2 linked regions of the Oryzias latipes genome follow. The protein of the gene in region 2 binds, or shares a complex with, the protein of the main gene of each other region. Links are inferred from orthologs where the notes say so. Each region holds a gene or a part of one and is shown on either strand. Other genes may lie near its edges.

The links.
Region 1: harmonin (region 2) and anks4b share a complex: the UniProt entries of both Homo sapiens proteins name them as parts of the IMAC/intermicrovillar adhesion complex. The link is inferred for Oryzias latipes from reciprocal best matches to the Homo sapiens genes USH1C and ANKS4B.

The regions. Positions count from the first base shown.
Region 1 is NC_019866.2:11,708,529-11,712,779, forward strand, and holds anks4b (ankyrin repeat and SAM domain-containing protein 4B), read right to left. Parts: upstream 3,095-4,251; 5' UTR 2,979-3,094; coding exon 2,818-2,978; intron 1,579-2,817; coding exon 456-1,578; 3' UTR 86-455; downstream 1-85. Other genes in the region: peroxisomal membrane protein PMP34, read left to right, coding at 4,028-4,102, 4,220-4,251. UniProt on the Homo sapiens protein: As part of the intermicrovillar adhesion complex/IMAC plays a role in epithelial brush border differentiation, controlling microvilli organization and length. Plays a role in assembly of the complex.
Region 2 is NC_019864.2:31,127,902-31,131,067, forward strand, and holds the end of harmonin, read left to right. Parts: intron 1-62; coding exon 63-162; intron 163-284; coding exon 285-394; intron 395-475; coding exon 476-531; intron 532-2,118; coding exon 2,119-2,131; 3' UTR 2,132-2,474; downstream 2,475-3,166. UniProt on the Homo sapiens protein: Anchoring/scaffolding protein that is a part of the functional network formed by USH1C, USH1G, CDH23 and MYO7A that mediates mechanotransduction in cochlear hair cells. Required for normal development and maintenance of cochlear hair cell bundles.

The sequences.
Region 1 (4,251 bases), on a different chromosome or scaffold from region 2:
GAATTTTTTCAACATTTAGAATTCACCACTTTTGACATATCTGCTGTTCTTGCTTGTAGAAATCAGATAAAGGACACCAGTTATGTCTATTTGTTTATCTACTTGTTTATTTATTTAAAGAAATAATTTACAAGCTCAAATTAATTCAAAGGAAATATTATTTGAGGGAATGGTGGTTTAAAGCAGAAATAGGATATACCTTTACCTGCAAATAACCTATATATATTGCAGGTATATACCTATACCTGCAAACAACAAAGAAGTAAACAAAAAGCCTATCTTACTTTTGATTAGCACATTTCTACATTTACAGATTTGAAAGAAGAATGCATCTTTACATTATTACATACATTATTAACCCACATGACAATCAAGTGTCAAATGAAATATTTGATTCCATGTCAGTGAAACTTTCTAAGAGCGTATCAGATGTGACACAAACACACATGCACAGATCATAGGCAGCTGTCCTTCATGATGCCAGGACTCTCGATTGCTTTTCTCCTGCGAGCCACAGCATCTAAGATCTTCTTCCTGGGCCCCAACTGAATGCGAATGCTTTTCAGGTCATCATCAGAGCAAAGCAGAAGTGCTTCCAAGTCCAGATGCTCTCGACTAAATGCAAGTGTGAACTGTGGCAGGGAGAGGGCAGACAAGAACACTTCTAAAGGAGAGTTTTCCTTGTCTTCATCATCATCAAGTCCCAGATCGTCCTGATCCCAATTAAGGTCATCGTCATCAACCTCCCCATCACCGCCGGCATTTTCCTCCCCCTCAAAGAGCTGATTCTGAACAAGGTAGCCGAGACTTTCGTTGTTCCCGCTGGGAAGGTCTTCCGCATCCATGTTCATCTTCTTCATGAAGATCAGACCTCCAAGACCAGGTCGGTTGAAAATGGATTGCTGGACTTTTCCTGATTCTTCCTCGCCGTCCTCATCAAACTGGTTTGTCATTTCCTCTTCTAACATATCTTCGTCCTGCTCGTTGAAGACTCCGAGAAATTCTGGCTTATCAGGTGCTCCATTGTCCTGTTTGCCGTAGATAACGTTCGGATCTCCTGGCCTCTGCAAAGTGCCTTTGTCTTTCATACCAAGCCTCTTCTGCAGTGTACCTTTGACCCTGGCTGTAACGGAGCCAGTTTTTTCTGCAGCAATCAGCTTGGAGAATTGCTCATTAACTCCAATCTTGTTTCCATCCGTAGATTCAGCTGATCCCATGCTTTCATTATCAAAACTGCCTGATCCTCTGTTCATTTTGACCATCTTACTCTGATGCTTCTTCTTCACCTTTTCGCAGAGTTTTACTCGTCTCTCTGCTTCTTTCTGAGCCTCCTTCTTCAAGTTGGCAACCTTTCTCGAATTCTGATTGGTCTGCCTCGAAGCAGCGGCATCCAGAAATCGCACGATTTCCATGTGGCCATGAGACGCCGCCACATCCATGGCTGTGTGGAAGTCATTATCCAGAGCGAAGAGGTTGGCGCCAAAGTTGACCAGGAAGCTTACGATGTGCATGTGGTTGTTTGATGCAGCATGATGCAGCGGTGTGTTCCCCCAGATGTCACTTTTGTTGGGATCTCCTCTGTGTGACACAAAGGGAAAAGGAATTTTTAAATGTTTGAATGTTAATATTATTGATACTTTTAACAAAATGTCTTGCTTCACAAATGTTAATCGCAGTATAATTTAAATTATAAGTCTAAAGAAAAAAGTTGGATGCAGGCTGATGTCATTCTGATGCAAAATTTGTGTGGGTAAAAAAAAAGTTTAGAGCTAAGGGAAAAAAATTACAATCCAAACTGTTTTTTAGCATGTTTAGAGTCAACTTTCACTGCAAACACTCTCTTTTTCATTAAAGTTGTACATTTATAAAAAAGATTACTTCATTTTAAAGGTTCAGTTCACTGGGATTTTATGTTGACATATCTTGGTTAAGACCATGGCAACCAGCACATGATTGTGGGTTGTTAACCTATAAAATAACTGCTCACAAAATCCACTCACAGCCCAGAGGCTCTGAGGCCGAACATATGTTTTCTTATAAAATCCATTCACAGCCCAGTTACTAATCATCTGCTCCACATTTCTAACTTGATTGTTAATGATATTCTCAGGTTTTATGGCAAGAAAGCACAAAAAATGAGATTTCTTCAAATTGTATAAACAAGAGAACACAAAGGAATAAAGGTCAAGCTAAATGGTAAACTATTAAGATTGGAAATCCTCCTGTGATTGACCTTTTTGCCACAGCAATAAAAGTTTTGATTGCTGTATTCCAACCACGCCTTGTTATAAATTTTATCTCCTGCGGGTTACGACAAAAGCAGAAGTGTTTTCAGTTAATTTAGACATTAAAGACAAAGCAAGTTAAATGTATTAATTATGTTACAGACATTTTCTCTGATGCTCATGCTACATTTTAGCCAGATGGTGAGAGGCTTGAAGAGGGGGTGGTGAGGATAGATGAATGCCTCTTTTGTTTCACATCAAGGATGTGGCTGATTGAACATTTGGTTCAGCTCATGGGAGAGAATTGAGTTATTTGTTTTTTGTTCATAATGAGGCTGGGGGAAAAAAACAAAATTCATAACATGAGGAAATAAACCAGTCAAAATTTTTCTTTTTAACCTTTGGCCAAATATTTCTGTTTATTTCACCTGTGTATATATCTACTTGGTTCAGTTTTGAACAACAGAAGCCATCATATTTACAGTATTTTTTTCATGGTAAATTTTACTCCCTCCTCAAATATATAATTTTTACAGATAAACAATGTGAAAAATGTAAATTTTCAGAGTAAAGTGACAGACAAATTCCTTACTCTCTGCTGCATATGAGCTGAAGAGCTTCGACGTGTCCGTGAAAAGCAGCCAGGAGGGTGGGGGTCATACCATCTTCATCTGCAGTGTTCAGGTCTTTCCTCGTGGCCTCCTTCAGTAGGTCCAAATAACCATCAGCCGCTGCTTTGTGGTACCTAGACATCTTCACAAAGAACTGAAAAGAGAGATCTGTTTGTGTCTCTTCTTTCGTCCTCTCACCACAGTGCAAGATGAACAGCGGCCGCTGCAGATCCAAGCTACAAAGTGATCACTGGGCGTATAAGCAGCTCAGAGCCATAAAACAAAAGCAAAGTCCAGTTCTCTGCTGTCAGCTGCATCAACTCATCATTGCTGCTCTTTTTAGCTCACAATGTCACATAGGAATGTCTGGTGTGAACTAACAGCTATGACATTCTTTTTTTGAATACAGTCCCATAATATTAATTTGTAAATAATGATGATGATGATAATGTCTTATTCCAGAGATATATCTTAAAAGTCAATACAAATATGAAAATATACAAGAAATATCCAAAAGGGAGTGAGAAGAAGTAAATGCTTTATAAATTCTCACCCCTACGCCCGCCATTACTACTATTATTAACTTTAATGAGTACATATTCCGTATCATTTATGGATAAATATACACATAAAAACATAAACAGGTGGAAACATCTGAGACACATTTTTCACGTGTAAACACTCATTTCATTCCTTTTAAATCTTACACAATTCAAGTTTTACTGATAAATATTTCAAAGTTTATTTATGTTTTGTAAATGTAACGATAATAATTATACTTACTGAATTATAAATATGTTTACTGATTGTTGTAGACAAAATATATAATAGCTCAGAGTTGTTTCTATTTTTATTTTATACATTTTGCGCCTCAACACAATGCACAATTATTGAGTGGATTTTATCTTTCTGTCCGCTAGGTGGCAAAAGAGATTTGTCGTTGAATTTTTAGTATGGGCCGAAGAAGAACTTGTCAACAGAGCTTGACCAATCAAAAGCAATCATCCTCCCTGCTGTTTCTTCCGGGCCGCTCAGACTCTGAACTACACCATGAAGTTGTGGTTGTCAAACACTCTTTGGTTAATGTTTTCACCGCTTGACAGATCAGACTGACCTCCAGCTATCCTCCCCTAACTTACTGTGGTGAATTCCGTTTTTAATCGTGTTCTAACCGGAAACTCTCGCGCAGAGATGTCAAACAACGGCGGTTCGGCTGTCGGCCTTCTGTCCTACGAGACGTTGGTTCATGCGGTGGCAGGTGCGACGGTGAGAAGTCGAGACAGAAACGAAAGTCTAAAACCCGATTTATATGTACATGTACTTTCAGTCCAGATGATTCCCGTGTTTGGTGTGGGTTAGTTTTCACGCAGCCCTGTTTTACAGGGGAGTGTGACGGCCATGAGCGTGTTCTTTCC
Region 2 (3,166 bases):
AGCTGCTCCTTCAGAACATCTTTAACGTCTCTTTCGGGTTCTGACGTGTTCTTGTCCTCCAGGCCGGACAGCTGGACCTGTCCCTGGAGGGGGGGGCTGACTCTCCTTTGGGAAAGTTGGTGGTGTCATCAGTTTATGAGGGCGGAGCGGCCGACAAACACGGTCAGTGCCTGACCAGAGCCATGCAAGAGAAGACAGGAAGTGACACGCACCGACTTCCCCTGATGGAATCAGCTGACTCTGTTATTGTGTGTGTGTGTGTGCGTGTGTGTGCATGTGCGCAGGGGGGATTGCTCCGGGGGATGAACTCATGGCTGTGAATGGGAAGATCCTGCTCGATGCCTCATTGACAGAGGGACAGAACTCTCTGGCGCGGGCCTGGGGGAACGGCGGGGTACCGGTCCAGTTCTAAAACAGCAGCTCGCATGTTTCTTCACTGCAGGATGGTTGACGTTTTTTTTCCCCCCACCTCCAGGACTGGATCGATGTGGTGATCGCAGTTTCTCCTCCGAAAGACTATGAGGATGAAGTGTAAGCATTGCAGTCAATATTGACAGTCTGCTGAAACGCCGGCTGCAGCGGTGCATCATGGGTCGTTGGTGTGTGCGTGTGTGCAGCTGTAAGTCAGCGTCAGTCAGTCCTACCGTGAACAGAAAGACGTTTGAAGGCAGCGCAGCTCTGTACAGACACGGCTACGTCCTTCAGCACTAGTGCTTCCTCTCTGGTAATCACCTTCATCCTCCTCTTCGTCCCACGGGGGGGGAGGGGCGGCGGCGTGTGGTGTGGCACTTGTTTTTGTTTGGGCCGCTCTATGAGGACATGTGACAGTCTCTGCCATCAAACTCTGATGGTTCTGGTCTTGTTTTATCACCAGAAACGCCCAAATTTAAACGGGGCCGCTAAATCCAGGCCTAGTCCAGACCGGTTCTGGTCCTGCCGGCCTCCTGCCGCCTTCAGCAGACCTGCTGATAGATGCTGTTCCTCTAGACTGTTACATCTTCTGCAGCCCCCCCCCTGTAAAGGCATGGACCAGGTTGGTTTTTCAAGCCTCCACCCAGGTTTCTCCAACTTTTATTTGGAAATCCACCATCGTATTCAAAAGAAATCCCTCCTCTTCCACTCTTTTATACGTCGCTGAAGGCTCAGCCGCGGCGTCAACTCAAGCAGTGCAGGAGTAGGTCAGGGGGCGGAGCTTAAAGCTCAAGAGCAAAAGGCAAACCCTGGAAGGCGACGGCCTTCGGGAAGAGATCCTGCAGAGGTTTCTTCACCTGATTCTGTTTGGCTGGACGTTCACATCAAAGCACCGGAAAGGCCGAATAAAATATGTATTTAATGTTTTTTAGATTTTGTAAATCAAACTGAAGGGGCGTGGATCATATTTAGTTCATTCAGACCTTTTGTTTTATCTTTGAAAGATAAAAAACCAAGATTTAAACCTCTGATTTCTGCCAACATGGGTTTGAATTAAAAAAAACAGGATGTTGACAGAAAATCTTAATTTTTTTCTGTAAAAATTGTATGAAAAAACATTTCAGCTTTGCCATAAATTCAGCTTCAAGATAGTTTTCTCAAATAATCATCTGTAAATACTGAAAACATTCTTTTATTTCAAGGATTCTATACATATGTATATAGCGGTTAGTTATGCTGTTAATACTCTCAGCTGTGCAGACTTCTCCAAATTGTCGGCTTTCCCGCCTAAAGATTCCAAGAATGAATGAAGAAATTTAGAAGAAAAGTCTGGAAAAAACAGCTTTGGAGTGTGAATTATTGTGAAGCAGGAAAGGTTCCCGGACATCTCAACAAATGTGTGACGAGCTGCAGAAAACGCTGTCAGACATCTCCTTCCAGGAGAAAGCCTCTTCTTGAAGCGTGTCAGCCTTCACTGACTGTAGAAACTGTAGAAAAGGATGCGCAGAAGCAGATGGAAGAGGTGAGGGCGATCCACGCGCTGACAGGAGTTTTCTCACTGGAATCTGGTTCTAAGAGGGATTTTGAAGGAGTTTGCTGATCAACCGGCATGCGTGTGTTCTGTTGTGCTTCGTTTGTGGTGTTTGGATTTATCTGATTAGGGTCATTTTTAGACGTGAAAACATTATTTCTGTCTTTCTCCTGCAGGACCTTCTTCTAGTCTCGTCAGACGCAGTTGGAGGAGACCCGATTGATCCGCCTGGAGCTTCTTTCATCTCTTCTCTTGAAACGTCTGCTCGCTTCCACTTTTTCTCTCTCGGATCGAGCGTCTTGTCCTGCAGATCGACTCCGTCCGTCGATATTCCTCGCCACCGTCTCGGTGAATGTCAGAGGTTAATCCAGTCAATACTTTGTGTTTCTCACATGTGGATCCTGACGGTGGTGGAGCTCAGAGATGCTGATCTTTGCAAAAGTCAGTCAGTTAAAGGTTAATGAAAATCTGTGATCAGTAGAGCCTCTTCTGAGTCTGTAAGTGTCTAATAAAGGTCTGATTGAACAAAGAAGAAGCTTCTGCTCAGTTTCTGTGACCCCCCCAGAGGGACGTGTGTGCAAACACGCTGAAGCAGGGACAAGTCTGTACATTTTTGAACAGTTCCGCGGCTTTGGCGGCGTGTGAAGCCCTGCAGCCTCAGAGCACCTGGAACAAACATGTTTGTTCAGGTCAGCACGTCCGCAGAGGAGCTGCTGCCAACGAGGGTGGCCTTTGTTTGGCTCCATCTCCAGGGAAACAAAAGTGTCCATCCAGACGGGAGACGGTTGGTTTTCAGGAGATGAGGAGGCTGATTCATCCCGGCTTCTATTACAGTCCTGATGAGGGAGCAGCGACATGCCAGCTTTCACATTCTTCTATTGATTGTTCTCAGCTCTGCAGCAAATGTCATCACAAATTCATTCACACTGTCTGAGTTTAATGTTCTTTAATAATTGGAAAAGGTTCATTTTAATGGTCAGCATTACAGTTCAGGTCATTTTTATTCATACTTGCCTTTTGACATTCTTTGGAACTCTGCTTTAGACTTTGGAGGTTTGTTTTGAAAGAGTTTTACCAACAAGGCAGTGTCACTAATTCCCCAGATGGTCCCGCGTGGCTGTCTTTGGCAGCCTCATTGGGCCGTGATTGTCCACGCGGGACAGTGCTGGTCCCACGGACCTGAAAGATCCACAGAATCTGCCGTAAATCATCTCCGGGATGTTT